Drosophila melanogaster: one gene and its partner. Each later gene encodes a partner of the first gene's protein in a complex. Each region holds a gene or a part of one and is shown in the gene's direction. Other genes may lie near its edges.

Region 1 (4,067 bases):
CACAACAACTCCGCCCTAAGGGTTTTGAACCTGAGAAGCAACACCATCAACATGCTGTCCAACGAGATGTTGAAGGACTTTGAGCGATTGGATTACCTTAGTCTCGGGGACAACGACTTTATTTGCGACTGCCATTTGAGAGCGGTGGTGGAGGTGGCGGCCGCCAATAATAAAGATGCAGACTGCTCCTATAGACTGCTGAACTATAGTCAGAATGCCGTAGGTGAGGAGGTAATATCTCTGGCGGAGTCACTAATTATAGATCGCAAGCTATGGCAGAGTCGCTATATTCCCTGGCTGCAGAGAAGTTACTCCAACATCAGGGAGTTCAATCGCGCGAATCATATAATCAAGCTGCGCTTCTCCTCCGAGGACTACATGGTAGCCAAGTGCTCCGCGGCCCAGCCATACCACTTAGGGGACCTTGACGGAGATCTTACCCTAAAATTTCAGCTGCTCGACTACGAGGCCAGTCAGTATTACTGCTTCAACAACACCGATCAGCTCCAGGTGGATGAGCTCAACTGCCAGATCAGGTCGATGAGTGACCTCGCCGAGGAGTTGCACCACGTTACGAACACAGTGATCGCAGTCATGGGCAGCTTAGTTGGCGCTTGCATCCTGGGATTTATAATTTATCTGAAGCGCTGGCACATCCACTACTATTACTCTTCCCTGAAGTCCGCTGCCTTGTTGTCCAGTGCGTCCAAGGAGTCGGTGAATAAATTCACAAACATATCCCAGAGAGATCCCAGTGCCGTCTACGATATCTTCATCAGCTACTGCCAGAATGATCGGACCTGGGTGCTCAATGAACTGCTGCCGAACGTGGAGGAAACTGGGGATGTGTCCATTTGTCTGCATGAAAGAGATTTTCAGGTGAAGCGTACTTATCTTACAACATTAACTTACTAATAAAGTGAAACCTTAACCCTTAATTCACATGCAGATTGGAGTGACCATCCTAGATAACATCATCTCCTGCATGGATCGCTCGTATTCCCTTATGCTGATCATATCCTCCAAGTTCCTGTTGAGTCATTGGTGTCAATTTGAAATGTATTTGGCACAGCATCGGTAAGGAATCTTTATCTGTAAAATTCAAATATTAAAATCAATATATGTGTGTATATTGTAGCATCTTTGAGGTCAGCAAGGAGCACTTGATCCTGGTTTTTCTGGAGGACATTCCACGGCGAAAGCGACCCAAGACTTTGCAATATCTCATGGATGTGAAAACGTATATAAAGTGGCCGACGGCCAAGGAGGATCGAAAGCTGTTTTGGAAACGTCTGAAGAGATCCCTGGAGGTCATAGGGATCAACTCCAGAGAGATCAGTGTTTAGAAAACATGTAATTTTATCCGGAGAGTTCTAGTCAGTTGTGCACGTACCTGATATAGTATATAAACTACTTAATTACACTTTCATGAAGACGAAAGTTTCCCCACAGTAATCATAGTAATATGCAAAATTTGCTGCTGAACATAAGTATAGTTTAAACATATATTAATAAATAAAGGTATTTAGGTTTTTAAGAGCTTATGTGATGTTTTTGAAATATCTTAACAAAGGCAATAGCGTCGTATATTAAACATAACCTACTACTACTGGACACTATGTAAACAAAGCTAAGGCCTAAGAAATATCTAACAATGCAACACACAATCAATACATCAGTACCAATTGACTGATAATAACAATTAAAAACGTTTAATTTTGAAATACAAATTGAATAAACCGCAAGCATCGATAATGAGCAGAAAACTATCGATAACAACTGACACAGCTGATATTTGCCATCAGTAGTTTGCGCGCCAAAACAACAAACGGGCATTCCACAAATTGTAAATTACTATAGCAATTCCCGCGACTCACAATGGAGTTTGGTCTGAAGAAACGCGCGAGACATGAGGTGAAGGTGGAGGTGGCCAGCCTGGAAACCAAGTACCCGCACAACGTCATGCTGTACCACTATCCGCCGACGGAGGACGTGCACATAGACGAATTCGAGGAGCTGGCTCTAGAGCGCTTGCGCCTTCTCCGCGTCCTGGATCGCGCAAGCACCCGGAACCTGCGCGTGCTCTCAGATGAATGGAAGGAAATCGTGAGTGCGGACCTGACCCGCGAGGGATTGCGCAGCTATTTAAGGCTCTGCTCCACCGGCGGAAGCGCCAAGCACGAGGCGGATATCCAGACCCGCAGGCGGGACTATCTTTCGCACTTCATCTTGCGGCTGGCCTACTGCCGCTCCGAGGACCTTGCGCGCTGGTTCGTGGCCCGCGAAATGGAGCTCTTCCGGTACAAATTCGCTGCACTTAGCAGCTTCGAGGTGAAGCAGTTCCTTGAGGCCAACGGCTTTGAGATTCACCCCCTCACCGAGGCCCAGAAGGACGAAGTCAAGGACGGCCTGTACGAGAGCACGGTCGGACAGAGCGTGGCGAAGATCGAGCTGTTGGACTTCTACAAGGTGCCCTTCACCCAGGTGCTCGATCTGGTGCGCGGACGTCGCTGCTTTTTAAAGGCTGGCTACGCCTATGTTAACACCCACGACCTGGTGTCCCTAGTGGGCACCAAGCAGCAGGACGAGATCGAGCAAGGCCTGCAGGCTGCTAAGACTATGGTGGAGGATGTAGAAGCCGACGAGCGCATCTCCCGCACACTTAAAGCTCTACATAACTCGTATACCGGTAGGGATTACACCGTTTGTCGGGATGCAGCTGTGCCCATCGAGTCGCTCGATCAGCTCTCCAAGACCTCCATGCCGTTGTGTATGCGCATGTGCCACGAGCACATTCGTGCCAACCATCACATAAAACATAGCGGCCGAATGCAATACGGCCTGTTTCTCAAAGGAATTGGCGTGGCACTGGAGGATTCGCTGCGCTTCTGGCGCGAAGAGTTTACCAAGAAAATGGACGCGGATAAGTTTACACGCAGCTACGAGTACAATATTTACCATAACTACGGAAAGAAGGGTTCCATGGTCAACTACACACCCTACTCGTGCGCCAAGATTATCAAGGATGTGGCGGGGCCGGGCGATTGCCACGGCTGTCCGTATAAGAACATGGATCAGGGCTCGTTGAAAACCAAGCTGTCCTCCTATGGCCTGTCAGCCAGTGCCATCGACGAGGTGATGTTCTTTGTGTCCCGCGGTCACTATCAAATTGGATGCGGCAAGTACTTCCAACTTACCCACAATTCACCCGTCGAGCCGAGCATCAATCACCCCAACAACTACTTCGAGGAGAGCCAGATAGCGATGGGCAACCGGCAGAAGCGCGCCAATGGTTCTGCTCCGCCCAAGGCCAGAATCCGTCCAGATATCAAGGGCCATGGGGATCGGTCCATGCTGATGGGTGACGATGACGATGAGTTGTGGCGAATCGCGGAAACCCAGGAGCGTATCATGCAGAGCCAAAAGGACATATCCGAGGCCTTCAATGATGATCTAGATCTTACGCAAATCGATTACTAAACGTTGTACAACATAAATTAACTAAGGTACATATATATTTAAGCATCGTAAATAAGAAAAGTTATATTATTCCATGGTTCGGACTTCACCTCCGGCACAAGTAGCACGTTTTAAGCCTAGGATCAACAGTGTTCTCCGAGTTTCGGCCGTAAGGGGGCCAGCCATTGACATCTACGTAGTAGATGCCCCTGGCTTGGGGATTCATTCGATAGCCCATCGGGGAAACTATGCCAGCAGAACAATCCCGTTTTCTTAGCTCATCCCAAGAAGCGCACTTCTTGCCCATAAAGTTCTTCTCTTGGTGTGGATATGCACTCTCGGCGAAATACTCAACGGCTCGGGTATGAGAGCATCCGATGGTTAGGCAGCCTGGCTGGATGGGATGTGCTCCGCCGGGATAGAAGTCCACATCACCGAGGGGTCCACGCTTGGCCAAAATACCAATGTTGGTGTGGATTATGTCCACTAGCTTGGCATCGCCACGCGTCAATCCTGGCAGAATCTTTTCCCGCCTGAAACATGGCTTGGCCGGATCCAAGCCAGTTATCCTGGGTATAAGTTTTCCGGTAAGCTTCTTAAAAGTCCGA
Region 2 (7,960 bases), on another chromosome or scaffold:
AGATACATAACTCCGGCAGCAGCCGCCAATGCAACTGCGACCTCATCAACCTCAGCGTCAGGAGGCGTGGGTGGCACCAACCTGGCGGTTTATCCCACGGCCACCGCCCAGGTTTATCGCTCGAACAACGGCCTGGATGTTCTGGACTGCGCTGGACTGGAGCACCACAACGCGGCCACCACTTCCGGTCACTCAGGCAGCGGCTTCTCCCAGCGCCTCAGGGAACTGGCCGCCTCCGCCGGACTGCTCTCCCTGAAGCCCCGCCAGCCTCTCAAGCCGGTGATCAAGACGCGTGGCTCCCCCGGACCGGAGTTCCCCAAGAAGGTCACCTTTAGTGCCTTTGCCACCGTGCAGGTGGTGTGAAGGGCGTGAACAGTGGGTCTAGCATCTGTTGCATCTGTGCAGGCACAGAGCAAGGTAATAACATTTACTTTTTGTTTTTTAAGTATTTTTAAGAATACTCCAGATCAAGATAATTCTTTGATACAAAATAAACTTTAGAAAAATATGAAATACATTTAAGCAAGCAATGTAATTATACTGGAATAAGAATTGCAACCCACTTTATATTCTGATTTAATATAGTTACATAATAACATAGTATAATATTAAACCAATTGTAAACTGAATTATTCATTGATTCTTTTTCTTCTCTTTTCATTTCAGTATCATCTTGCACTTGTTAACGATTATTTCTTGTTGTTTTTATATTTGTTGCTGTTGTTAAATGTTTAGCCAAAACTATGGAAACCATACACGGAGAAAAATTCCTTAAAACATAAAAAAAAAACATAATAAATTGTTGTGCCATGTCTGTGGCTTGAAATAAAAATGAAAACCATATAGAAATGAATAACACACCCCATAGCTAAAGAAAATACCTCAAGGATCCTAAATAACTGCCCTCCTTTATCTTATTTTATCTGCTTTGCTTAACTGCCCTCCTTTATCTTATTTTATCTGCTTTGCTGTACATTCTGGTAGACTGACATTTTAATATCCTTTCTATAGTTCCTCTCGATCACCCTATCCTAAAACAGTATTTTCCATATTTTCTCATCTTCCGAAATCTTTCCTCACCAACACACCCGAAAATAATTGTAAAATATAACGACTGCAAGTGCAGAAATTCTAAATATTTACTATTAAATTGTAAATATGTACGAATTTTTGCTTATAACAATTAAACAGCAAATATAGTCATAAATATATGTATTCATGTAATATGTAAGTCTGTTTTGTGTATGTGTGTATATATATAAACCATGATTTTGCATTGATAATTATATAGGGTATGAAATCACCTTTCAAATCCACACAAATTTTAATCGAAATTGCTGTATATTGTATTTAAAGTATAATATTATATATATCTTATAAGCCTAATATTATGCATGATAAATAAAATACGATTAAAACCAAACAAACTATTGTCTTTTAATTTGGGAATAAAAACATATGACAAGCACATTAAAAGGGGATCTTCATGGAGCAACTGCTAATGGAAAAGTTTTTCTTTTTGTGATCCACTGCAATTAAAAAGCTGAAGCTCGAAAATGTAAAATCTAAAAGAACGCCCTTTAAATGGTGATCATTGTTCTTTCTTACTTGGTGAATTCATTTCAATTATCAGGTCGGATTTCCCGCCAAAATATAGCAGTCATTTTAAATCGCTGTAACTGTTATGTTAACTATTCGTGTTAACTGTAATCGATCATTTGTGCTTACAGATTAGACGCTAACAGTGCCCAGAGCTAACATAACGCGCTGCCACCTATCGATATATTACCACTCAGAAATTCATAAAATAGAGATGTTACTTAATAATAAAATTGCAATTTGGGATTAAGTTATTGTATGGCTTTTATTTTTTTTAATTTCCTTACATTCTTCCTCTTCTTAACGACACTATCGATATTACATTGCAAAAGTCCGGCAGCGCTTTATGTATCGTAGCTCTGTTATCGATATGTTCCCGCCATTCCCGCTTTGATCATCCTCCAGCCCTGGTCACAAAACAATTTTTGCAAACTGCAGCACAACACGGGGAAATTATTATCAAAGTTAGCCAGTTGCAATGTCTGAATCACCGTGTAAGTTAATAAGATAACTCCCTTAAACATATTTTTTACCGAAATTATAAATTTCCAGCTGAACCGCGCGCTAAGCGCCAGAGAGTAGACAAAAATGGTAGGTTCGCCGCCATGGAGCGACTGCGTCAGCTGAAGGGAACCAAGAACAAATGCAAAGTGGAGGACCAGGTGGACGATGTATACGATGTGGTTGATGAGCGGGAGTACGCGAAGAGGGCGCAGGAAAAGTACGGTGACGATTGGATCGAAGAGGGTAAGTTGGAACTCTGAACTCTATACTTTATAATACTAAATTTTAACTTTTAGATGGTACTGGTTATGCAGAAGATCTTCGGGATTTCTTCGAGGACGAAGATGAGTACTCCGATGGGGAGGAGGATCGGAAGGACTCGAAGAAGAAGAAGGGTGTTGCCCCCAACAGCAAAAAGAGACCACGGGAGAATGAAAAACCAGTAACAGGAAAAGCATCCATCAAGAATCTATTCAGCAATGCAGTGCCCAAAAAGATGGATGTAAAGACCAGTGTGAAAGACGATGATATCCTTGCTGATATTTTGGGCGAAATAAAGGAAGAGCCTGCAGCGACGTCAGAAAAGGCGGAAAAGGTTATAGCCCCAGCGAAAATATCAGTTACGTCGCGTAAATTCGATGCCGCCGCTGCCAAGGAATACATGAATAGTTTTCTAAACAACATCAAAGTTCAGGAGCAGGAACGTAAGAAAGCGGAGGCCAGTAGCGATAACGAGATGCTGGAGCGCATTCTGAAGCCCAAGGCAGCAGTTCCAAACACAAAGGTGGCCTTTTTCTCCAGTCCTACAATCAAAAAAGAGCCCATGCCTGAAAAGACACCTGCAAAAAAAGCCACCGAAGATCCATTCTCCGACAATGAAATGGACTTTAGCTGTCTGGATGACGATGAAAACCAGTTTGATGTGGAGAAGACACAGCAGACCGAGAAGGTTTCCCAAACGAAAACAGCAGCTGAGAAAACATCCCAAAGCAAAGTCGCCGAAAAATCAGCTCCCAAAAAAGAAACAACTGGATCGCCAAAGGAATCGGAATCGGAGGACATTAGTAGGTTGCTGAACAATTGGGAGTCTATATGCCAAATGGACGATGATTTTGAAAAGTCCGTGCTCACCACGGAGCAGGATTCGACAATCTCCTCAGATCAACAGCTTCGGTTCTGGTACTGGGAGGCCTATGAGGATCCAGTAAAAATGCCCGGCGAAGTCTTCCTGTTCGGTCGGACCGCAGATGGAAAGTCCGTCTGTCTGCGTGTACAGAACATCAACCGTGTGCTCTATCTGCTGCCCCGACAATTTGTGAGTATTATTCTACAAATACTTAGTCCTTAGGTGAAGTGTTGTTTCTGAATATATTCTTTTAGCTCTTAGATCCCATTTCGAAGGAGCCCACCAAGCAGAAGGTGACCGTCGCAGACATATACAAGGAGTTCGACAGCGAGGTGGCAAACCAACTGAAGCTCGAGTTCTTTCGATCCCGCAAGGTCACCAAGAGTTTTGCCCATCACGCTATCGGTATTGAAGTTCCGCAATCTTGCGATTACTTGGAGGTTCACTACGATGGAAAGAAACCACTGCCCAATTTGTCGGCTGACAAGAAATACAATTCTATAGCACACATATTCGGCGCCACCACCAATGCACTCGAAAGATTCCTCTTAGATCGGAAAATCAAAGGTCCCTGTTGGCTGCAGGTGACTGGATTCAAGGTGAGCCCAACTCCCATGAGTTGGTGTAACACCGAGGTCACATTGACAGAGCCCAAGAATGTAGAGTTGGTGCAAGATAAGGGAAAGCCAGCGCCACCACCTCCACTTACGCTACTATCGCTTAATGTTCGCACCTCAATGAATCCGAAAACATCGAGAAACGAGATATGCATGATTTCCATGCTGACCCACAATCGTTTCCATATCGACCGCCCTGCTCCACAGCCCGCTTTCAATCGACATATGTGCGCTTTGACTCGCCCGGCGGTGGTTAGTTGGCCTTTAGATTTGAACTTTGAGATGGCAAAATATAAGTCTACCACAGTGCACAAACATGACTCAGAGAGAGCCCTGTTGAGTTGGTTCTTAGCTCAGTACCAGAAAATAGATGCAGATCTCATTGTAACCTTCGATTCCATGGATTGTCAACTAAATGTAATAACCGATCAAATTGTAGCCCTGAAGATTCCCCAATGGTCTCGAATGGGGCGACTGAGGCTGAGCCAATCGTTTGGCAAGCGATTGCTGGAACATTTCGTCGGCAGAATGGTTTGTGATGTAAAGCGATCTGCAGAGGAGTGTATAAGAGCAAGATCCTATGATCTGCAAACGCTATGCAAACAAGTACTGAAGCTTAAGGAATCGGAGAGAATGGAAGTGAATGCCGATGATCTGCTAGAGATGTATGAGAAAGGAGAAAGCATTACCAAGCTCATATCGCTCACCATGCAGGACAATTCATATTTACTAAGGCTGATGTGTGAGCTCAACATCATGCCGTTGGCGCTACAAATCACTAATATCTGCGGCAATACCATGACCAGGACCCTTCAAGGAGGTCGTTCTGAACGAAATGAGTTCTTGTTGCTGCATGCCTTCCACGAGAAGAATTACATAGTGCCGGACAAGAAGCCGGTTTCTAAACGAAGTGGTGCAGGAGATACGGATGCTACGCTTTCAGGTGCAGATGCGACGATGCAAACCAAAAAGAAGGCAGCCTATGCTGGTGGCTTAGTGTTGGAGCCCATGCGTGGTCTCTACGAGAAGTACGTTCTCCTCATGGACTTTAACTCCCTGTACCCCAGTATAATACAGGAGTACAACATATGCTTCACCACCGTCCAACAGCCGGTGGATGCAGATGAGTTGCCCACCCTACCCGACTCGAAAACGGAACCTGGAATCTTACCCCTTCAATTGAAACGCTTGGTGGAGTCGCGAAAAGAGGTGAAAAAGCTAATGGCAGCGCCTGATCTTTCGCCGGAACTCCAGATGCAGTACCACATTCGGCAGATGGCCCTGAAGCTAACTGCGAACTCCATGTATGGTTGCTTGGGTTTCGCCCACTCCCGGTTCTTTGCCCAGCACTTGGCTGCTTTGGTCACCCACAAGGGCAGAGAAATCCTCACGAACACACAACAACTCGTGCAAAAGATGAACTATGACGTTGTTTATGGAGACACAGATTCCCTGATGATAAATACCAACATAACCGACTACGACCAGGTCTACAAGATTGGTCACAATATTAAGCAGAGTGTAAATAAACTATACAAGCAGCTGGAATTGGATATCGATGGAGTATTTGGCTGTTTGCTCTTGCTGAAGAAAAAGAAGTATGCCGCTATCAAGTTGAGCAAGGATTCCAAGGGAAACCTGAGGCGTGAACAGGAGCACAAGGGCCTGGATATAGTACGTCGCGATTGGTCTCAGCTGGCTGTAATGGTGGGAAAAGCCGTTCTCGATGAAGTGCTGTCGGAAAAGCCTTTGGAGGAGAAACTGGATGCAGTGCATGCCCAACTGGAGAAGATCAAAACTCAAATTGCAGAGGGTGTAGTACCGCTGCCACTGTTTGTCATCACCAAACAGTTAACTCGGACTCCCCAGGAATATGCCAATAGTGCTTCATTGCCCCACGTCCAGGTGGCCCTTCGTATGAATCGCGAGCGTAATAGGCGGTACAAAAAGGGCGATATGGTGGACTATGTGATCTGTTTGGATGGGACAACAAATGCTGCCATGCAGCGAGCATACCATTTGGATGAGCTCAAGACCAGTGAGGATAAGAAGCTGCAGCTGGACACGAATTACTACCTGGGACACCAGATCCATCCGGTAGTCACGCGAATGGTGGAGGTGCTGGAGGGAACCGATGCGAGTCGCATCGCCGAGTGTCTGGGCATGGACCCAACCAAGTTCCGTCAGAATGCGCAGAGGTACTTACTATCTTATTACTCCTTACAAACTCTAACCTAACGAATATTTTGGTTATGTAGAACCCAGCGAGAGAACACCGAGCAGTCGGAGGGTGAGTCCCTGCTCAAGACGACTCTGCAGTTGTATCGCCTGTGCGAACCGTTCCGCTTCCAGTGCGTTACCTGTAAGACGGAGCAGCTGATGGCGTCTGCGTACCGACCGGGTCCAAGCAACTCCCACATAGCCGTACTCCAGCAATGCGCTAAGTCCGAGTGCCAAACGGCACCGATTCAGTACCTGGCAAGCGTGCGCAATCAGCTGCAGCTTTCCATGCGGCAGTATGTGCAACGGTTCTATAAAAATTGGCTGGTCTGCGATCACCCGGATTGCAACTTCAACACCCGCACACACTCCTTGAGGAAGAAATCCCACCGCCCGCTGTGCCAAAAGTGCAGGAGCGGCAGCCTGCTGCGTCAGTATACGGAGCGGGACCTGTACAATCAGCTGTGCTACCTGCGATTCATGTTCGACCTCGGCAAGCAAACGCTGCAGCAAAAACGTAAGTAAATACAATGTAGTTATAAGCAGTATCAAAAACTAAAACAATAGTTTGTGTATAAGAACAAAATGAAGAATGTGGAGTACGAGAGAGAAATATCGACACTAAATAACAAGACACATGAAAGGAAAAATCAGTCGAAATATTTTATAGTTCCCGTGATCTCGACGGATTTCAGTAGTTCTTTATGCTTGTATCCTTGAATTCTTAAAAATTGTTGTAGTTTATATATTAGTTCTGACACCTAATACATATATTTCCCTTAAGATTGGTATCATTAAGTTTTACAGCATTTCATATTGAAATTATATTTTGTCCATATTATCAAGCCACCCTCACACCGGAGCTGGAGCAGGCCTATCAACTCCTATACGAAACGGTGGATCAGCAGTTGCAGAGCTCCTCCTACGTGATCATCTCGCTAAGCAAGCTCTTTGCCCGATCCCTGGCTCAGATGTCCCTGCAACCGTCCGTGGCGCAGCCCCAGATCGAAGCAATTCCGAGTGCTTTGGCGGATGTGGTCTAAGTGTTTAATTAACTAGCCTTTGTTATAAGTTCCATTAAAAATACTACAAAAGAGATACAGAGATACAGTATGGTTAACTAGATGAGGTCACGTGGCGAGGAACTTCTCGAGCGGAAAGTGCCGGAAGGACTCGTTGAATATATCCGTAAATGCCGTGCTAACCAACTCGTTAATCATCGGCTTGATGAAGGGCAATCCCAGCTGCCACATGCTGTTGATGACTCCATCGGCCAGTTGGTTGAGGGGCTGTCCCTGCAGCAAGTTCTCAATGTGCAGCTCCATTCCGCCGATGCGGTCCACCTCCACATGGACCTTGATGAGTGAGCCCGGACCGCCGATGCGCCTAACGCTGGTGGTTTGACTGAGGAAGTAAATAAAGTGAGCGATAGGTTGTCATGTAAGCCAAAAGCTATCAACAATACTGGTGTTTGCAACACAGCTTGGGAAATACATATTTCCATGCAACTCGGTGCCCACCTGTAATCGTAGAGGGTGAGGTTCCAGTGGCCTTTTCTGTTCATCTCAGTACCCAGCATCTTGGCGGCGAACTCGTACTCGCCCTCCAGACTTTTGTCGGGGAAATACTGAGTGTAGACGATGCGCTGGTCCTCTGGATCGGCATGGAACTTGGTCACCTCGGATCGCGCCCATCCGTACTCGGATACATTGCGCAATATCAGACGAAAGCTGCCCAGACCCTGTGATTCACCTCGTCGCAGCTCAACGTAGCTACAGTGGTGCGGGTCAAAGGGCTTGATGTTGTAGTCGGGCACACCTGAAAGAGTTGCTCCATGATTGCTCGCCCGTAATCCACATCTCACTCACCTGTTGTGAAGTAGGCCCTTAGGTCG

What was found.
Region 2: Prim2 (region 1) and PolA1 share a complex: the UniProt entries of both Drosophila melanogaster proteins name them as parts of the alpha DNA polymerase complex.

Annotation. Positions count from the first base shown.
Region 1 is NT_037436.4:20,359,319-20,363,385, reverse strand, and holds Prim2 (DNA primase subunit 2), read left to right. Parts: upstream 1-1,800; 5' UTR 1,801-1,878; coding exon 1,879-3,480; 3' UTR 3,481-3,553; downstream 3,554-4,067. Other genes in the region: Toll-9, read left to right, coding at 1-879, 950-1,077, 1,139-1,346; CG5665 (uncharacterized protein), read right to left, coding at 3,566-4,067. UniProt on the Drosophila melanogaster protein: Regulatory subunit of the DNA primase complex and component of the DNA polymerase alpha complex (also known as the alpha DNA polymerase-primase complex) which play an essential role in the initiation of DNA synthesis.
Region 2 is NT_033777.3:21,665,763-21,673,722, reverse strand, and holds PolA1 (DNA polymerase alpha subunit 1), read left to right. Parts: upstream 1-1,972; 5' UTR 1,973-2,077; coding exon 2,078-2,093; intron 2,094-2,151; coding exon 2,152-2,346; intron 2,347-2,399; coding exon 2,400-3,418; intron 3,419-3,483; coding exon 3,484-6,044; intron 6,045-6,104; coding exon 6,105-6,583; intron 6,584-6,912; coding exon 6,913-7,109; 3' UTR 7,110-7,161; downstream 7,162-7,960. Other genes in the region: CG31176 (uncharacterized protein), read left to right, coding at 3-363; Jhbp16 (juvenile hormone binding protein 16), read right to left, coding at 7,197-7,470, 7,587-7,884, 7,935-7,960. UniProt on the Drosophila melanogaster protein: Catalytic subunit of the DNA polymerase alpha complex (also known as the alpha DNA polymerase-primase complex) which plays an essential role in the initiation of DNA synthesis.